Xenopus tropicalis: one gene and its partner. The protein of the gene in region 1 binds, or shares a complex with, the protein of each later gene. Links are inferred from orthologs where the notes say so. Each region holds a gene or a part of one and is shown on either strand. Other genes may lie near its edges. The genes, in order: vps54 and vps52.

The links.
Region 2: vps54 (region 1) and vps52 share a complex: the UniProt entries of both Homo sapiens proteins name them as parts of the golgi-associated retrograde protein (GARP) complex. The link is inferred for Xenopus tropicalis from reciprocal best matches to the Homo sapiens genes VPS54 and VPS52.

Annotation. Positions count from the first base shown.
Region 1 is NC_030681.2:32,636,940-32,648,502, reverse strand, and holds part of vps54 (vacuolar protein sorting-associated protein 54), read right to left. Parts: intron 8,903-11,563; coding exon 8,806-8,902; intron 7,562-8,805; coding exon 7,218-7,561; intron 5,707-7,217; coding exon 5,577-5,706; intron 4,777-5,576; coding exon 4,595-4,776; intron 3,184-4,594; coding exon 3,071-3,183; intron 2,224-3,070; coding exon 2,160-2,223; intron 364-2,159; coding exon 258-363; intron 1-257. UniProt on the Homo sapiens protein: Acts as a component of the GARP complex that is involved in retrograde transport from early and late endosomes to the trans-Golgi network (TGN).
Region 2 is NC_030684.2:72,047,687-72,058,049, forward strand, and holds the end of vps52 (vacuolar protein sorting-associated protein 52 homolog), read right to left. Parts: intron 10,252-10,363; coding exon 10,133-10,251; intron 9,538-10,132; coding exon 9,414-9,537; intron 8,207-9,413; coding exon 8,111-8,206; intron 7,601-8,110; coding exon 7,493-7,600; intron 7,236-7,492; coding exon 7,170-7,235; intron 7,084-7,169; coding exon 6,972-7,083; intron 6,886-6,971; coding exon 6,767-6,885; intron 6,686-6,766; coding exon 6,539-6,685; 3' UTR 5,316-6,538; downstream 1-5,315. Other genes in the region: E3 ubiquitin-protein ligase RING1, read left to right, coding at 107-406, 619-796, 3,537-3,638. UniProt on the Homo sapiens protein: Acts as a component of the GARP complex that is involved in retrograde transport from early and late endosomes to the trans-Golgi network (TGN).

The DNA of each region.
Region 1 (11,563 bases):
CCTGCTCATTCTACTTGCCCCCCGATTCCAATAATTTGCTTTCTTTCCCCTTCTCCTTTAAAGCCCACAGCAAGAACGGTACATTAAATGCATGGATGTTACAATGGTAATGCGAGCAGCAGGTTTAGTCATTAAAGAGCTTTATGTACCTTTGTTATGGTAACGAGAGGAACATCTATTGTAATATATTTAATCAACAGATTTCATACAGAATTTTGTAAGCATGACACTGAGCAGCAATAAAACTGACAGGGTACCTTTAAAAGATCAGACAGCCGAGTCAACATGTCTGTAGTTACAGAGGGGATATCATCTACGCAGCTGCAGTACTCGAGAATGATTCTGATCAAAAGTAGCACTGTGCTGCAAGACATACAAGGGGTGCATTAGTGCTAAATGACAATAATCTGATTTACACACATTGTACACCAGGGATCCCCAACCGTTTATACCCATGAGCCACATTTAAATCAAAAGTGTTGGGGAGCAACACAAGTATGAAAAAGGTTCCTGATGGTGCTAAGAAGAGCTATAATTGGTTATTTAATTGCCCCTATGGGGACTGGCAGCCAATAGAAGGCTCTGTTTGGCATTATATTGGGTTTTTATGCCTCCAAAACTTGCCTCCTTACCAGGAATTCAAAAATAAGCACCTGCTTATGGCCATTGGGGGCAACATCCAAGGGGTTGGTGAGTAACATGTTGCCCCTGAGCCACTGGTTGGGGATCACTGTTTTACACCTTAAAAGGATTCTACCATCATTTTTATCGTGTACTTTTTATTTCTAAAAGACACTGTTTACATTGCAAATAATCCACTTTAACATTTACAATTAAAATTTTATTCTTGAACCAGGAAAATAAATTTTTTAGCTGTAATATTGGTGTGTAGGCACCATCTCAGTGCATTGTGCCAAATTCCGAGCTTTCAGAAGGAGCCACATTAGAACTGCTTTTAGATAAACGATTGTTTCTCCCAACTCAATGTACTATGAATATGACCCAAGTTGAATATAGGATTTCTCCTGCCTGGGTGCTATTCTCATATCTACCACTAGATGGGGCATGAAACCACATTTAGTAATGCAAACCATTCCAGAATTCATTTGGTTTCCCCAATGCTGAAATCTTATCCAGCCTTCAGGATACCTGCTTTTTGGAAGGGTAAGAGGGGGTCTGAGGTGTCAGAAATCATTTCCTCACATTGTATTTAATCTATATGGGGCTTAATGTATTTGGGCTAAAGTATTCACTGTATACAGTATTCACTGTATCAAGTATTTCTCACTGTATTCAGTATTTGGGACTCTGCCTCTTACTGTATAATGTATTTAGGATCTGGAGTTATTGTTCACAGAAGTCAATGTACCATTGTTTACAAGTGCATAGCGTGAGGGAGTGTGTGTGTGTGTATATGTATGTATGTATATATGTGTGTATATGTGTATATGTGTGTATATGTGTGTATATGTGTGTATATGGGTGTATATGGGTGTATATGGGTGTATATGGGTGTATATGGGTGTATATGGGTGTATATGGGTGTATATGGGTGTATATGGGTGTATATATATATATATATATATATATGTATGTATATATATATATGTATGTATATATATATATGTATGTATATATATATATATGTATATATATATATATGTATATATATATATATGTATGTATGTATGTATGTATGTATGTATGTATGTATGTATGTATATATATATATATATATATATATATATATATATATATATATATATATATAAATATAAAGCCCTAAATCACTGGGAGGCAGTATAGGCAGTTTTGCCTGTTTACCCACTCACTAAAATTCAGGACAGTGGCAGCAGTGCTAATAGCCCAGGGAAGCACTATGCTATCTTGTTTAGCTAAATGGCTGCTGAGGGGTAAAATGAAGGGGGTTAATATCACTCCAATTGCAGCGCAGCATTAGAGAGACTGAAGTTTATCAGAGCACATGGCTGTGGCTGGAAAAGTAAGGCAACCTAGCCCCATGTAAAAATAATAAATCTGTTTGCTTTTTTAAAAAATGAACTTAAGTGCAAAATTCTGCTGGTGCAGTACAATTAACTGATGCGGTTTGAAAAAAACAGGTTTTCCCGTGACAGTATTCCTTTAAAAATGCAGCTTACCCAACAACTGCATACTTCTGTCCGTCCACTGTAAGAAAATCTGTGGGTTTCCTTTCTTCTGTACCTGATGAAAAAAAGAATTGGTTAAAAACATTTGCTGCAAAGGAACAGTATTTTAACGATGACAGTCTGATGGAGAAGTTTGGGTTTAGCAGAAAAACACTACATTTGGCCTTATTCATTTAGGCAGGTAAAGTCTGTACGCTCTAGAGAAGAAGGACCCCACTGTACCAGTGTGTATATCGCTGAAGAACATGGCAGCAGGTAACTGACATAGGATAACAAAAACAGCAAACTTTTCTATCCCATTTGTTTTCTAAAATGATGGCTTCAATAATTTAATTTAATAATAACAGTAAAAGGAAAACATAAAGCACACATAAAAAGCATTTAGTTCACAAAATCCAACTTCATAATAATGATTTTGAAAAATTGCAGGCTTTGTGTGAATATAGAGTGCCAAGCTCAAGCATGGCTGTACCAAAACTGTCAGCACCAACAGAAAATTCTGCGTAAAAGCCCTGTAATTAGCTCTTCTCCTATAGAACGTAGTGGATAAATGTGTGGAGCAAAAGCCCATATCAGTTTTCAGTCCATATGCTCAGAAATGGGACTGTATAAGAATCAGCACTCATATGGCTAGCTTTATGCAGCTCTATGCAAACTAGGATTCTATCCATGAATAGACTGGCACCATCTTCACCAAGGCTCTACAAGTAATGATGTATGTGCTATTCAGTGAAAAAATAATGGATTGTGCCACAGAGCCAAACAACCACATTCTGTATGTGGAACAAAAAGACCCCTTTTAAGATTTAATTTCTCCTTTAGTAAAACAAATATTAAAACATTTTTATTCTTTAAACTAGTTGTGCAGTACAGATATGCCGAGTTCAAGGAAACAAACGTACCTCCAGATTTTCGCTCAGGAAGCACTATTTTACCGTCCTTTATAGAATCTACTAAGTCCTGAAATTCAGCAGGGACATCAGCTTGTTTCCAGCGTTCATTATCAAGCAGGAGGCTATAAGGGGAGAAAAGTGTTACTTTAGAACATATCCAGCTTTACTATTCTTAGGGTAATGTGGAACGCTAGCACCATTCTTGTTTTGTGTAATGAATTCTCTCCCAACCTAGAATTGTACATATACTATAGTATAGGTCCCCAAACCTGTCCTAATTAACCCAGTATTAAGGCAGGGTCTTCAAAATATCCACAGAGCAACCAGTAGAGGGGATCCAAAAATGTTCTGTTGTTTTTAGTCAATCAATTAACGATTTGTGGTACAGGTATAGGACCCGTTATCCAGAATGCTCGGGACCAAGGGTATTCCGGATAAGGGGTCTTTCCGTAATTTGGATCTCCATACCTTAGGTCTACTAAAAAAATCAATAAAACATTAATTAAACCCTATAGGATTGTTTTGAATCCAGTAAGGATTATTTATATCTTAGTTGGGATCAATTACAAGGTACTGTTTTATTATTACAGAGAAAAGGGGAATCAGTTTTAAAATTCTGAATTATTTGATTAAAATGTTTACAGATAAGGATCCCATACCTGTAATATGAAATAGCATGACAAACAGAGGCCAAGGTACATAGCACCACTGCAAGTAGGAGCTGAAGAATTTTTTGCACAATAGTTGCTGACCTCCTCCTCAATGAGAGGATGGTTCCCAAGAGGGATTTGCCAATAACATGTCCAAACTCAAGATATCTGAGAATCTAAACCCAGAAAATACATTTATGTAAACTTCATCAGGGTGCATCTCTGAGCACTTTTGCACCATACATTATTTTTCTATTTTAGTTGTTTCTGAGATATCTGAATTTTTTTTTGCACTTTGCACACTGTGCTCTGCATTGTGTAAATTGCTACAGGCCTCTGTGCTCCATTCAGGAGTTGCCATTCCTCTCTGGCCATTCCTGTATTGGTGAGAGTCAGGAATTGGGGTGGCACATAGGCATCCACCCATCTGCCCCCAAACTTGCACAAGGAACAGAGTGCAGCTTAACCCAGGTGAAAGTTGCCTGCTAGGGTAAGGATTAAGGGGCATACTCTTGGGTCCCATAGCACTCTCGTAATAGCATTTCACAGTAATGTAATTTACCCCTTATGAGTAAATAGGTGAATTTATATAGAGTTTAGGTCTTCTTTAACAGACTAGGCTGTCACTGAATGGAAAAAGCCTGAAAGTGCCAGTACAGAATGTAAGAGTCTTCCTGCTGAAAAGTTCTAGTTTTGGTGTATTCACATTTCCAATTCAAATCATGATTTTGTTCAATATCTAAAAAGCACTGCTTGCACCAGCAGCCTCAAGTTTCCCATTTGCACAGTGTTTTTAATTGCAGTGTATTTATCCTACAGATCAATAAAATAGAGAGAAAAAACGGATACTACATGGCACACTGTGTTAGTGGTTGCTCTTTACCTCAGTTTGGTTTTTCTTTCATCATGGAACCGATTTACAAATTTGTTGGCTTGGCTTTGCAGTGCCCCTCTCAGTGACATGCTCCTTCGGCCACAGATCTTTTCAGTACCCAAAACGAATGCTTCCACTGCCCGTGAGAGGGACACAAATTCAGCAGAGTTTAGCTTCTCAAGAAACCCTTCCTGATAAGGAAAACAAATTGAGAATATCATGAAATGGAGATACAGAGTTAAGCTCAAAAGGGAAGCCTAACAACTACCAGTAACATTAAAGGGATTGTCATGATTATTATGATATACTTTTTATTTCTAAATTACACTGTTTACATAGCAAATAATTCACTCTATCATTTAAAATGTTATTCTTGAACCAACAAATGTATATTTTTTAGTTGTAATATTGGTGTGTAGGTGCCATCTCAGTGCATTGTGCCTGAGTCTGAGCTTTCAGAAGGAGCCAGCACTACACATTAGAACTGCTTTCAGGTAACCTATTGTTTCTCCTACTCCCATATAACTGAAGGAACCCCAAGCCAGACTTGGATTTCTTAATATGGAAAGCTATTCTGATACCTACTGGGAGCTGCTATCTTGCTACCTTCCCATTGTTCTGCTGATCGGCTGTATATACATATATACATACATACATACATACATACATACATACATACATATATATACACATATTACATATGTGAGATTAAACAAATGTTAATAATATTGTTAAATTGAGAACATGTTTTGAAGTCCATAATATTATGCTCTGCTTGTAGACAACTACAAATGTTTTATTGTAGTAAATAATAAGCTATAGAATAGGCCAACATACAAATGTTTTGGACACTAAATTGAATCTGCTGTGGAGCCCAGTAATATCTAGTTATGCCAAACGCCATCCAGGCAGAAACGTTCACTTACAACAAAGCCTTGGCAGATATGAAGTGAAGTACATCCTAGTAATAAAACAGAGGCTTGTTATTTACCTTGGCCCTCGCTAGCAGGAACTTGACGCAGCGGTCATGGCAGATGTCAGAGGCATCATACAGTAACTCCTGTATACTGTTGGCAATTTTACCAAGTTCCAGGTCAGTTAACTTCATTTCTTCAGTTAGACTAAAAAAAAAAAAATCATTGTTCGGGGGTCACCTTACTGCACACACAAAAGTCATCTAGATATCGACAAGGGAGCTTATGAAATTAACTGGAGAATACCACTTTCCACATCACAATAACACTTTAATGGTGAACTACCCTTCTGAACATTCTACAGATGTGCACAGAACCATAGAGAAGTGATTAAAAATATAGGAGCTCAGCAAATCTAACATGCAATCCCACCCCCCTATATCAGTCATGTACAGATTTGAAGTCATTTGTGGTTATGTAATAAAAAGCAATAAGTTTGCCCATGAGTAGTAACACATAGCAACCAATCAGAGGGTAGCATTTACTGGTCACCTGTTTACAAGCAAACATCTTATAGGTTGCTATGGGTTACTGCTCCTGGGCAAACTTAGTGCCTTTTATTACATATGTGAGATTGTGAATTATGTGGCAATTTTATTGGACTGTTTCTCAAAGACCAAAAGAGGGGGTAGTTAAATACTATTGCCTATATAACTTCGCTCATATAGGTAATAACTAAATAAGCATGGGCTAAACTTATAAATAAGCATATAGTCTTTGCATGGTTTTTTGAAATGTCAGATATAAATATACTTTTTTTGTATACAGACATACCTGATTTCTCAGACTGAGGAAACCATGATATTTTGCCTGACTAGCAAGACTCAATTCAACACCACCCTTAGGGGTCATTGTGTTCCATTAGGAAGTGACAGATTCTTGAACTTAAAGTCCCTCTGCTTTCCAAGCAGGGCAGGGCACAGATTCCCTGGAATGCAGACATAAACCCAACTTATGTCAAAAAAGGGAGTATTTTGTTCCTTTTAATTACTCTGCCTTTGGCATGTCCAAATGAGCTTATGGACTGTATTGCAGCAAGAGGGGCATCTATACTTTCCCTAAATTCCCCATAGTGTCAGGACTTCTATTGAAGGTCTATATAAAATATGGGGATTGGTGACTAAAGAGAATGTGTTACTTGTTTTTTTTTTTCTATTTATCTATTATATAATCTATCATTTCAGCCATTTGTTTGAATCTGTTAAAAGAGATCTGAAACAAATGCATAATAGAATATGTTATATATTTTTCAAAAAGGATGTACAGGTATAGGACCCATTGGAATCAGTTTTAAAAATCTGAATTATTTCATTATAATGGAGTCTATGGGAGACAGGCTTTCTGTAATTCAGAGCTTTCTGGATAAGGGCTCTCCGGATAACAGTTTCCATACCTGTAATACAACACCTATAAAAGCCTTCAGGCTATATCCAAAACAGTGGTGGCGACTACTTTGTCTACAACCTAAATGCTCAGTACATAAGGTACAAGGAGTAAAAATGTGTTACTCTGTGCTCTTTGCCATAAAAAGGTAAATTAATTGATCGGCACACTGGTATGCTCATCTTAATATCATCCATATGGCACAGCTCCCTGAACAAGGCACAGTGTACAGTGTTGGTTCACAGGTTAAGTTTATAAAGTCTAGTTTTACTCACATTATTTCTATTCCCCCTTGGGTAACAGAAGGCAGTGTGTGTTCTTTGCTGGAAGAAGAGTCTGTGGTACACTCAGGATCAGATACTGTATCGCTGCCAGAGGGCTCGCTACTGCTGGGTGATGTGTTCCTTTGAAAGTTAGTGCTGGTAGCAGCATTGGGAAGCTCACCTTCACCGAAAGCATCACTTATAAATAAGCCTTCATGAGTCAAGTACGCCAATTCATTGTCCACATTGCTTTCTCTTCTGAGATTCTGTTGAGCTGCCAACATTTCCATTTCCCTCACCCGCTGATTTTTGTCTAAAACCATGAGCACTACATTACGGATGACGCTTAGCGTTGCCTGCAGGGAAAGAAATAGCCGTTATACTAAATAAAGTCTGTACCACTTGCAGCAAATTAAATGAGAACAGAAGATATAGCAAAGCTTTAAGAACAGAAAGGGAAACTGTACAGCATCTCCCTGAAGGGTTACATTTACAGTATTTAATCTTACTCTGCATGTCCTGAGGTTTAACAGCCCTTTAACAATTATGATCAATGCCTGTAATGTTGGTCACATCAACCCCCCTTATTCTGAAACTTTTTATGCCATCTTTTCAGTGCCCGTGATCAACAGCTTAGGGGTTGTTGGAAATCATTGAAACATCAGCAGAGGAGAGGCTGCATGTGTCATGGATGCTGATGGTTATTAATCAATTCTGATGCACACTGCAATGAATGATATTATTCATAAGCTCAGGCAACTAAGTGTAGCCCAGTACATGTGCAGTGGCTGCACAAAATAAGATGGGGAGGCATTTCTAAAGGCACAGATTTTGCATTTCTGGCTTTTATTATTTGTTGAGCTTTAGTTCTTCTATCACTATAGGTTACAGTCTGTATACAGAACATGTATACGAGTGTTTAAAAGTGGCTTTATTGCTGAAAGTGGCTTTTCTTTGGCTGAAGGAGAACAAAACCCTGCCCCAACCCCCGCACCACCTTTTACTGCCAAAGGGCCTCTATCTTCGTACCTGACAGGCACCCATTTGTGCCACTTCAGATCCTCTTCTGTCAGAGGTCAGCAGCTAAGGACAGAGGCAGACGGGGAGATTAGTCGCACCACAACAAATCTTCGTTGCTGCGGGCGACTAATCTCCCCGCAATGCCATCCCACCGGCAAGAATGTAAATTGCCAGTGGGATGGCATATGCGTTGCCTTGAGAGGAAACTTCGGAAATCGTAGCAACGCGTATACCATCCCACTGGCGATTTACATTCTTGCCGGGGGGATGGCATTGAGGGGAGATTAGTCGCCCAAGGCAATGAAAATTTGTTGTGGGGCGAACAGTTGCATGAACAGTTGAATGCTCCTGCATGCAAAGTGTTGCCAATCTGACAGAAGAGGGTCTGAAGCGCTGCCCGCCAACCCCGCTGAGCAACTCTGCATTGGGGAGACTTTTAAAAGTAATGCATGATGTCAATCTGGGGAAACATCTTGGCTGAAGCAACCAATTTAGCAAATCCCATATGTCTAAAAAAAATCCGCAGACGAGTGTTATGGACAAATAAGATGCCATCACATGTATTTTTTTTCCCACTTACCTTAACTCTCTCAATAAAAATTGTAAACTTAGAAAAAATATTCTGAAGCAAGCCAAACCACTGAGAAAAATTCATCATCCGAATCTGATCAGTAAGCCTGGAAGCAGAAAATTAAAAAAAAAAAGAGGTAAATAGTTAGCATGGACCTCCTTTCTCTCCCCAATATTTGCTGTACAAATGACTTCTATTTGGTATGGTATAATAAAGCTAACATAGCAGCAATTATTGGTGTGTGCAGAGCTCCCTTTATCTATATCTGGGATCCCCAACCTTTCTAACTCGCGAGCCACAGTCAAATGTAAAAAGACTTGGGGAGCTACAGAAACATCATAAAAAATTATGGGGGTGCCAAATAAGGGCTGTGATTGGCTATTTAGTAGCCTCTATGCACACTATCAGCTTAAAGGAGGCTTTGTTTGGTAGTACATCTTGTTTTTATGCAACCAAAACTTGCCCCCAAGTCAGGAATTAAAAATAAACACCTGGTTTGGGGGCACTGGAAGCAACATCCAAGGAGTTGGTGAGCAACATGTTGCTGAACCACTGGTTGGGGATCACTGAACTACACTGACTGACGTGGCCTTAGGGTCAGGGAGTCGCACCACCAGAAGGTAAAACTATTTGCATAGACAGGAAAAGCTCCCAATTCCAAAATTTTGTTGCACCTTTTTTTCCTCTCACCTGTACTATTAACATGTGCAAAATAGCTAAATACAAATACATGCAGCGCTGCCACAGCATGCATGGGTCCCTTAATAGATACTTTCCTGTTACTTTAAATAAATTTACAGGGTGATTGCTCTTCCTTCAAAGATAAATGTTTCAGAGAGCATTGCCTTTACTATGGCTAGTACAGCTAGTACTGGGGTACCGAGTTCAATTCCAACCACATCACCTGCCTGCCTTACACCTATTTTGGTATATGAGATCCCTCTGAGGAAGGCTCTTGGCAGTGCACCTAATCTCACGGTCTAATTTGAACAGATCCACTTGAAAGTATCCCCCTCTATATGATTCTACTTCTGTTCCAACCATGGAAAAGAGTTTGCACGTTTGGAAGGGCCTCCTACCACACTTGAAAAACAAGCTCACAGAATAACAAATTTCTCATGTAATTGGCCCAAGTGTGTGTATGTTTGTGTGATGCAGGTGAGATATTCTAGTAAAGTGCTTCTCAAACTGTCCAGTTTTATGATAACATTTTTTATGATTTAATGTTGCATCTAAAATAAAATCCCTTAATGTACAAAGATGCCAAATCCTTGCTAGCAAAACTAGAACTTTGGCTATCCACTACAGATTAATCAGCCCAGAGTTCATATCATTTTCTGAATAATTTTGGTTCTGTATTGTGTGGTTAATAAAATTCTGCAATAAAAGAGCAATCACTGCTTAAACTCTAAAAGGGTGAGGGCTCTGCTCATCACACAAACACTATAATATTTTCCCTCTGAGATATCCTTTGGGAAAAACACTTTGCAAAGGGCTGCTCTATTATTTGCATTTTTATTACATAGACAAGGAAAGCACAAGTAATAAACCTTATCAAGAGCTGACACTTTAGAAAACCTGCTTCCATACTTGAAGGCATTAGTTGTGATAATAAGCATTTTTTTTGCTTATGTTGATTATAAACAGCCCTTTGTGAAAAATGCTGCGTGCAAGGGGCCGCTGACATGCTATTTGCATTTTTATTACAAATAAAATAACACATAATAACGCTGACACCTGCAGAAATCTAAAAAGCTGAATACTTTTCAAGATATTTGGATTGACTTTACTCTTTTACTTTATGTTTTGTTTGCAACAAACACTAGTTGCCCACAAACTGTAGGCAGTTTCTGGGGTGCTCAATGCCACTAACCTTCTTTTTAAGAAGAATCATGGAACAAAATAATTTTCTTTCTATATTTAACCTTTCCTTCCTTTCAATACTACCTGTACATTCAGCCATTATAAAAAGGTTATACATGCGGGATTGCTTTAGTCAATCCTCCATTCAAATGAATTAACATTAAACAGCTGAGCAGGCATTTTATCTGGTTGGGGCCCAGCATCAGAAGGATCCTGAGAAGGGGAGACAGATATATGACAACAACACATTATACCCTGTGAAAAGGTAAGATATTTTCCGGGAATAAATCAGAGTGTAACGTGTAATTTTCTATTATAGTCAACATGATGTATACCAAGTATAATGTATGGGTGAGATTATACGTTAACCCTTACTCTGTAAACAAAGTATGGGTTTTGCTTTTAGCAGGCAAAGTGTCAGCCTGCTAACAACTAAGCACATACGTTTCCAGGTCTGAGGTTACTCTACACAAAAGCCTAGCAGCACATTTTCAAAAAGTGCCCTTAGCCTGGCAAATTAAAGGGTTAAAGACATATGTATTTTAGGTTTATATTTGCACTACTTATTATGATTCCCACTACTTATAACAAAAATGTCATGTGCAAAGTTGGTGTTGTACAGGTCAATAGCAAAATAAAGTACAAATGACAGTATGTTTTAAACAATATCTTGGTTGGTATATCAGCCATCACGATAATTAATCAGCATCTGTTTGATTATAGTAAGCCTTATACATATCACACATTTATTAAGAATAAGTGTCTACTGCAACAAAAGTCTATATAGGAGATTTAGGCCTTCAGTATGTGAGGAATAGGTACAGTATCACATTTTATGTCAGAGTACCATGCCTACCTAGCCCTGCCTCCCACCATGGGCTCCAAATTTTTTCAAATTTCTTTT
Region 2 (10,363 bases), on another chromosome or scaffold:
AGTTAAGTGGGAGCTGACAAATTGCTTGCCTGGGCTAAGGAAATGGCATTGATTATACATCTGCAGAATATCTTGATTATTCTTTTTTTACATTTCCTATTACCAGAGCACAGCGAGTTCGCAAACACCAGCATGAATCCGACAACACTACTTTTAGTGGTGGGGAAGACAACTGCGACAGCCGCTCACATGTCAGCAACCCGTCAGTGCACAGCAATCAGGAAGCAGGGCCTAGTCGTAAACGATCTCGAGCCTCTGAAGATTCCGGAGCAGAACCCGATCTTTCACATGAAGGTGGAGTAAGGAGCCCTGATCCTCCAGGTGGAGGAGAGACTGGTAGTGAGATTGAACTGGTTTTCAGGGCACACCCCCTACTAGTGGAAAAAGATGGTTATAGTCAGACTAGGTAAGAATGCTTCTAAACAAATGAGTTAAAAAAAAAAAAACATTGTCAGTATGCTAAAAGCTGGGACGATGCTGGGTAATAATTTCCAGAAAAGCATGATGAGGACACCAACTGCATAACAAGTAAAGGGATTAATAAATCCTCTAATGTTATGTATCTTGCAGGAGTTTGATTTAAAGCCCTCCGATTCATACAACCTTAATATTTCTCAGGTATGTAAAGACCACTGCAAATGCTACAGTTGATCACCTATCAAAATATTTAGCTTTGCGCATTGCTCTGGAGGAGGAGGCTCTTCGTGGGGGAGCAGAAGGTGTAACACTGGGAGAGGTTAGCGAGAAGCAATACACCATCTACATCTCTACAGGGGCTGCAGGTGGACAGTATACTGTGAGTATATATATAATATGCATTCGTGTATAAGAAAATAAAAGGCCCCACTTACTGACATGTTGAGTATTATAAACATTTGTATTTTTTATGTGGTTGGTAAATATATTTTGGATTTTCTTATCATACATTTTATCTGGTTACCAAGGGCCCAAAGTTCCCAAATGGGAAGGAGGGGGGGGGGATGGAGTTTGCTTGGGTTGGTGATGGAACTGGAGTGGGTCCGTACTGCACTGCCCAGGGCACTACTGGTGCTTTACCCACCTGTTGTATTGAACTTTACTGTATGTTAGAAACAAAGGCCAGAAGAAACTTGTTTTCAGATTCTCTTATCCGTGTCTGAAATTCTAACGCATTATTACAAGATTTACCCAAGCTGAAATGAGTAAGAGGCAAATCAGGATTGTTCAGTTTTGCATTGTTTCTTTAAGGAAAAAGAAAACTTGAACCCCATAGTCATGAGGTCAGCCTGAATGGAAATATAATGATTGTTGGATGCCCAAAAGTGGGTGGAGCTGTGAACAGCCTATTGACTTGGCGGAAATTTAACCTACTGCCATTCTCACAGTAATAACAACATGGTCCCCAAACTTTGTAGGGTTAGGAACCAGGTAACTGCAGTTCAAGGTTAGAAAAAGTGCCAATCAGACTTAACCTATTGACTTTTAATGGGGAAAGTCAACCTGCTGCCATTCTCACAGTATTAACACCAGGGTCCCCAAACTTTTCAGTCAGTCATTAGGGGACTGCAGTTTTAGTTTTGAAAAGTGGGCAGAGCCACCAACTGCTAATCAGATTTCACCTATTGACTTTTTTTGGTTTGATGCCAAAGTTCCCAAACTTTGCACAGTCAGCCACTGGGTGACTACGTTAGAAAATATGGGCGGGGCCGCCAAATTCCAATCACATTTCTTTAATTGTTTTCAGTGGGGAAATTTTAACTGCTGCCATTCTCACATGTTTAATGTCAGGGTCCCCAAACTTTTCACAGTTGGTCCCTGGGGGACTGCAGTTCAAAAATAGGATAAGTGGGTTGGGCCACTAACAGCCAATCAGATTTAATCCATTGAATTTTATTGGTTTAAATTTAAAATGCTGTTATTCTCTCACTATTTATGCCAGGGTGCCCACTGTTTGTCACTGGGTGACTTCGGTTAGAAAAAGCGGGCACACCCACCAATCACAATTTACCTATTGACTTTTATTGGTTTAAATTGAAACTGCTGCCGTTCTTTAACTATTAATCTTGGTGTCCCTAAACTTTGCAGAGTTAGTCACTGGGTAACTGCAGTTCCAGGTTAGGAAAAGGAGCGGAGCCACCGACCGCCAATCAGATGTCACTCGCTGACTTTCAATGGGGAAATTTTAAATTGCTGCCATTCAGACACTATTAAAACCAGGGTTCCCAAACTTTGCACAGTGGTATTTACTATATACCGTATATACTCGAATATAAGCCGAGGTACCTAATTTTACCTAAGAAAACTGGAAAAACTTATTGACTCGAGTATAAGCCTAGGGTGGGAACTGCAGCAGCTACTGCTAAGTTTCAATCAAAATAAATACCAATAAAATTACATTAAATGAGGCATCAGTGGGGCATATGCCTTTAAATATTTATTTCAAAGAAAAACCAGTAAACTAGCTCTGTAAGTGGAGAAGAAGGTCAACAAAAACAATATGGTGTCAACAATGATACCTTAAGAGTACTACCCCCCTTAGCTCAATCAGCAACCAAGCTAAAACACAAAGAGTTAAAATCTTTCAAAACTATGGTTTATATAGAATATAAAGTGCAATGTCTAGTGCGGAATGGGACAGTAGATGAAGATGAATTTGGGAGCAGGCCAGACACTGGAGGGTCTGGTTGCAGGTGGCCTAATTTGGACACAAAGGACAGAGGGTGCTAGTCTGTAGGGACCCATTGCACCCGACTCGAGTATAAGCTTAGGGTGACTTTTTCAGCACATTTTGGGTGCTGAAAAACTAGGCTTATACTCGAGTATATATTCCCATTTGTGATTGTGCCCTGTGGTGCTGTATAATACATACATACATACATACATACATACAAACGTCAGTATGTAAGGTGGGGATGATTTTGTTTACCACATTTATAATTTAACAGCTTGATTGCTGCTTCACAGCACTTGTTTCAAATTGTTTCCTTTTCCCCCTTTAAAGAAGGAAAGGCTTCTTTAAAATGTTGGCACCCCCAAGTGACTTTAAGCGCTTACCTTTTACCCCAGACTGGTGCTCCTGTTAGGAGAACCGCACCAGCCCGGATAAAAGGCATTTTGGCACCCCCAAGTGACTTAGCCTTCTCCTTTAACTTTTATATCCTAGATCTATATTTACTGCTTCATTTTGAGGTAATTAGCTTGGCTCACATTTTACTTTTGTTTTCAGAAGGAACAAATGAGAACTGTAATTGTTTCATTTTGTTTAAAAGTCAACCATTTTGCTTTATTTGGAGTGCAGCGTAAAGCGATGGACTCGGACACAGATCAGTTATGGGCTAGGTGGCCTAAAGAGCTGCCAAACTGCCCTAATTGCTGTGTTTGTTGGCAGAATTCCACAACATCTATGGGTTCAGCTAGTTCTCCCGAATAAATTCATGCTTCCTGACAGCTGTTATTAACTACTTGCATTAAGTTTTTAAAAACAAACTTCGAAAATACGTGGATAATTATGCATACATTAATGTGTATCTCATCATTTGTTTGTTTGTTTTTATCAGACCCTGAATGGCTCCTTAACACTTGAGCTGGTAAATGAAAAGTATTGGAAGGTAAGCAAACCGCTGGAGCTTTATTATGCTCCAACCAAAGAGCAGAAATAGTCTCATGGATGAAATGACTCACATTAAAGATGCTGCCGCCTGTATAATGACTTCTGCATTATATGCTTGTGCCAAGCATTCCACAGGGAATCCACCTGTTATGGAGGCGCGTGAGGCTGCTTTATTTTCCTCTAATCCTAATAGAGCGTTTAGCAGCTGTGGCTTCCGTTTCAACTAAAGGTATACCAGAGTACCCTAAAAGATGGAAAGTTGTATTTAACTTGTATCCCTAAGCCAACACCTTATTATTCAATGGATTATAAGCCCTGTCTGATATCTTGAGAACCAAACTGGTGGATTAAGCAGGTACTAATGACCAAAACACTGACGAGCACCAGGCAGCAGTGCCCTTTCATTGCATAGCCCCACATCTGAATGGTACTCATAAACAAAACTGGAGAGGGGCCGAAATATACTGACATTCTCTAAGCACACTGAAAGGAACTGCATGTATGGTTCATCCTAAAGAAACAAAAGAACCCGTCAGAATGCCTATAAAAGGATACCACCCGGATGTCTGCAAAAGCAGCAAGGAGCACAGATCCAAGAAAGAATTAAGGCTGGAGCTGCCACTCTTAATCCTCTTAACTGCCAGCTTTGCAGTGATAAGTCTAATATACCAAGCTCTTCATGCAACTCTACCCAGATTTCACCAAATTTTATTTGTACCCTGTCATTTATAATATATGTTTTCATTGGTTTTCCCACATGGCACCCCACAATATAAATATAGACACCGTATATTTAAACATTCTGCCAAAAAATTTTTTTTTTTTTTTTGTCAATGTAATTATACTGTCTGGGAGTACTGTAATATTCCTCTGTGAAGTAGCAATATCACTTTCATATTTGCAAATGAAAGATGGGTATAGGCCATGATCCTTGCTGGGTGTTTATTAAATGTTACTCAAACCTTTTCCTTCCCCACTCAGTTAAACGGCCAATATCCCCTTGTTTGATATGATTTCAAAGATCAGCACTGTTTGCCTATTGTTTTATTCACAAAAATAAATGTATGGTTTCTGTTATTATTCTTCATCTAATCAGGACAAACAGAAAAACTGAAGCTGCTCCATGGTTGGTTCTTCTAGGGATTTAATTAAATTACTAGCACACAAACAATCCTCTGTATAATGGACTCCTGCTGGCAAAACAGTCAAAAGGGGCAAGGAAGGTACTGTTACACTGGTAATCTGCTACCTTACAAGGACCAAACAAGTAGTTTCAGTTATCCTGTATAGAACAGGGGGCAAAAACCATATTAAAAACAATAGAGAAAAAGTATGTTAAACTTAAGCCCTATTCATTGCATCCATGTTTAACAAGGGGTATTCCTACTAAAAAAATAATTTTTTTGCCTAATAAAAGAAAACATAATTCCAAGCAACTTTTTAATATCAACTTATTAAAAGTTATTAGTAAATGTAATTTCTATAGAAAGCAGCATTTGCTGAACTCCTGGTTGTTACTTTTTAAACAATGTTGCAAGTGCCGGGCTCCTCCAGCAAGTCAGGTCTGTAAAATCTGCTGGTGTTTTGTTACATTGTTTCAAATGCCAGAGCGACCAGAGCAGATAATAGAAAGGACAGGCAGACAGTTCTTTTAATAGCAAATATATATATACATACAAATAACTAGAAACCCATTGCAAATATGTAATGCGTGTATATTGCAAAGTTGCTAAGAATTAAGTTTTCTTTAATTAAGCAAAAAATTATTTTTGGGGTTGACATGTCCTTTAATCTCTTTTAAAAGAATGACATTCAGTATGGACATCCATACAGGTAGCTGTTGGAGGGCTAGTACTTTAGATCTCTTCCTTACTCTTTTAAAAGATATATTATTAGAGTGGGGATTGGATAACATGCATGTAACATTCCAGTGTAGTAAAACAGCCTTCGTTTAGATACTGTGTTTAAAGAGCCTGCAAGACTTTCTTGTGACATACATATTGACTGGCAGAGAGAGTGCTCTGGTGTCTTTATAGGCTTATTGGAACTATCTCAAACATAAGCTACATAATTGGGTCTCAGATGTTTCTCTTAAGCCTTACTTGCACTTAAATGTTAATAGAAAGCGATGGAGGGAACTCTAAATCTTTGTATTGTATGTTAATTGCTCTTGACACAGAGCAACGTTTTCTTTTGTAACATTTTAGTAAATGTGGCTTTTAATACTGGTTTGTATCTATTTTTGCTTAAACTGTGTGGATAATTTAAAACAAAGATGTGTGTAGATATATATATACAGGTATAAAAATGTAGCCATAGCACTTTGGAACCCTTGTCTGTTATTGCTTCTAGTAAAGAACATAACTCCTTTACAACGAATGTGTTATCGTGTCCACAAAGGACTTGCAACTGCATCTTCCTTTAAGTTGTGGCATTTTACATTAAAACCCCTATGCATTTAGAATGTATTACCCCTGTACTTTCTACTAGCTAAGCTAGTGTTCTCAATCTGCACAGGCCTGTTTCAGCTATTGCTCATTAGCACCTCACTGTCCCCGGGGAATGGATAAGCTGCAATAACATTCAAATGACTGCACAGGAAATTATACATTTTCTTCATGCTGTGAGACTACATAAAACTATACATATTTATCCAAGATTTGTTACCAGTAGTAAACTTTATTTTACCCATACATTTAGTTCTGGCATGATTTTACAAGCAATAGTTAAGCATAGGAAGAGAATGCCATTAAATATATTTAAACTCAAACATTTGGTGGAGCTACCTGTTTACCTGTTGGTACAGGTATCTTACTGACTTAGCAAGGCAAAAGCACTTGCTCTTTCATTGTTAAGAAATTTACATCACTTGATGCATCTCAGATTAGTGTTATATACACAGGTAACAGAATCAGTTTTATGATACTTCCTACTTCTACCTTCTTGGGTTCAGAAATTAGGCTTATGTTTTTTGAGCTCAACCATTAGGTGATGCAGGTTTATTAATTCTGAGCATACAGGCAGATTCCTGAGTGGCGGCTGGGAGAGTATCTTATGGAAGCGGTGATAATACTGGATCAGCTGTGTTAATGCACCCTGTAAAAATGGAGAGAGTTAGAATAAAAGGAAGAACCCAAATAAAGGTCTCTCTTAAATAGCCCTTCCTAATTCCCTTACTTGTATAATGCTAGTTCCATTCTTAAAGTTGGTAAATGACCTCATAACATCCTGACTCAGATTCTCCACTGCTTGTTTCCATGTTGATGAGAACCCCCGTACAAGCTGAGCAACACGTGCTACAAGAAATTCAGACCGTTACTTTATGCAGTGAGTGACAATAAAAACAAATAGTAAGACTTGTTAAAATACAAACATCCTGTACCCTCTTCACTTCTGAGTCGTTCCTGCTGTCCCTTCTCAATTAGAGATTCTGACTCCTTGACAAATGCAATCATTCCTCCAAATGATGGAGCGAGTATCTCTTCAATAAACTCCTGGCATTTTAAACAGTACAAGGACAAAATCAATATGAAATACATGGTGTAGAAGGTAATAATACAAACACAAAGGGGCTACAAACCTGTGTTCGAGCAGTCAGCAGCTGTTGAAAACTTTCCACTTCTTTGCTGTCAGAAGATGCTCGTTCCTAGAGATGGCAGTGAAAAAAACTGTAAATGATCTGAACTATAGCTCTGCTTGTTTGTATGTCGGATTAATATCTCCCAATAGACATTACAGACTAGTGTGAGGTTCACTGTGTATAGTTATTAATTTATTACATGTGAAACCAACTTGAATTGGATGAGTCAGATTTCATAGGAAATGAACACATTGCTAGTGTTAAACCTTGTCTTATGTGAAATGCCACAAACATCTAATGTGTTGCAAACTAGTGGGACTCACCATAAGGACACTGAGCATCATATCATAGTTGTTTATTAAGAAAATTAGCTGTTCTTTTCTTGATGAGAACTCTGCTGCCATTCTAAGGACAAAATTCTCCACTTCTACCTAAAAGAAAGTCAAAAAGAAAAACTACCAATAGGCAACCTCCAGGGCTTTTTCATGTAGAATCTAATATTTCTCTAGCAAGTCACATTTAGAGCACTATATCCCCCACATACTCAAAATCTGGAGCTTTGTCACTGCCCATAAGAAGCTTCTTAGTTAACTGATGTTACCTATTCATAGAGTACAAAAAATATGACGTTTTCACATAACCCAAAATATAACTAGTACAGATATAGGATTTGTTATGAGGAAACCCGTTATCCAGAAAGCTCTGAGTTACAGTAGACCTTTTTACTAAAATACTTAACATTTTAAAAAACGATTTCCTTTTTCTTAGTAATAATAAAACAGTACCTTGTACTTGATCCTAGCTAAGATATAATTAATCCTTATAAGAGGTAAAACAATCCTACTGGGTTTTACTTTATATCTTAAAAAAGTGTAGGATGGCTGAATCCCACATCACACTTTATAATCCTTCTCCAAATTCTCTTCATATAAGGTTAGTACCTGTAACTGTCCAAGCAGGGCATTTGTCTTCTCATTTGGAAATGTCTGGTTTATGCTAACGATGGCTGAGGAAAACTCTGCATAACGACGGGTTATCTAAAAGGAAAAAAAAACAATTTTCATAGCTTATTTTTTAGACACATATGTAATGTTGTATAATTCTCTGTAATTAATTAGGTTTTGTACCTAAAATGTGGCACCAGCGGGTTTATCTGTGAGCTGTGCAGTATAAAGTGGTTTAGAGGTCAAGCTTGCAAGTGACCAAGTACATGGACAACCCTCTAATGGACTGTGAAACTGACCTTCCCACTTGCTCTTTAACTCACTACTACAGATTATAACGTTTACAAGCTGGCAGTAAAGGGTAAGATTGACACAGACTGTAAATTTTTTCATCTGGGTCGTGAGTGGAACTTTAAAATCCATGTTTTTCAAAAACGCAAATACATTTTTTTATATTTTATTTTGAAATTTCAGATGGGGCTAGCCATATTCTTCATTTCCCAGGGTGCCACAGCCATATGACCTGTGTTCTGATAAACTTCAGTCACACTTTACTGCTTAGCTGCAAGTTGGAGTGATCTCACTTCCCTCCCAGCCGCCGATCAGCAGAACAATGGGAAGGAAACAATATAGCAGCTCCCAGTAGATATCAGAATAGCACTCAATAGTAAGAAATCCAAGTCCGGCTTGGGACTCCTCCAGTTACATGGGAGTAGGAGAAACAATAAGTTATCTTAAAGCAGTTCTATGTAGCGCTGGCTCTTTCTGAAAGCTCAGACTCAGGCACAATTCACTGAGATGGCTGCCTACACACCAACATTACAGCTAAAAAAATACATTTGTTGGTTCAAGAATAAAATTTGAATGGTAGAATGAATTATCTGCTATGTAAACAGTGTCATTTATAAATAAAAAGTATTCCAAAAAAATCATGATAGAATCCTTTTAATGCTTTTTATGTTTTGGGCTTCCGTAGCAGCCCAAGGCAACCACGGCTGAGATTAGGGACCAACCCACTATATACAGTATCTATATACAAAACACAAATTTGATGATACAAGGCTGATCAGTAATACATTAGAACCACTTTACATGGCAGCACATAAACTACAGCATTCTGCATTAAAATGATTAGTAATCAGCCCAGTATTGCATCAGCTTCTACAACAGATTTTACACCACTTTCTGCTAATATTTTCTGACAACCCCTAAACTTCTGCATAGTATGATGTATTTGTGTTACTACACCCAGTAAATTTATCAAGACTTTTCCTGAGATAGGCAGATGTTTACTGCTTACATAGTGCGGCCTTGTATCAACAGTGCCCAGCCTTTGTGGATCTGTGTTTCGAATACTTTGAATGTTTAATTCTAGGATAAGCTGAAACCTGGGCCACAGCATGTCCAGAAGGGCATCCCAGTATCTGCAGAATATTAATGAAGACAATATATAAAAATAGTGTCCTATTATAGCACATATATACACTATTAAAAAGTATCAAGACTGTCTTCTTAACATACACAGAAATATAATCCAGCATCAGCATAAACATAATCTCTATGTATAGAAGAGCTAGAATCTCTTAGCATAATTGTGCCACCATGACTATAACTTAATTACAATCCAATAGAATTTAGATTATCCAATGCCTGTCCAACAGGCAAACATATATTAAATGCTAGCAGCATGTCAGAGAACCACTAGGCCTCACCCCCACCCCTTACCCAGTCGAGTTACTAACTCCAGGGTAGTTGGTTGTAATTAAAATTTCTCTGTACACATGCAAGGGACACAGATATGGATCTCTAAAAAAAGTCAAGTAGTCTGTAGACTGAGCTAAACTATTGAGGTGTTGTAGATTGCATCATGGCCCTCTAGCCAGCAGTGGTGTTTACAAGCTAAGCATTGACTGAGGAACAACAAACAGAGGCAGTATTATCTGTGTGACTGCCTTTCCCAGCTTCTTTCTGTTCATATGTTGTCCCTGTTCTGTATGCTTTAAAATATTAATTTCTTACTTGTCCACAGCAGGGATGTCTCTTCTCTGAGCGATTCCTTTGAATCTCAGTACAATGTGAATGCAGAGGAAGATAGCAATGCTGTCATAGCAGTCCGATACATAGGAATCAATATGTTTCTGGGGGACAGACACATATAAGATGTGAAAAGCAACAGAACATAAAGTTCATTGTTTATATTACATATAGTTTTTGTTTTGTTTTGAATGTTGACAATATTGACTACTGGGG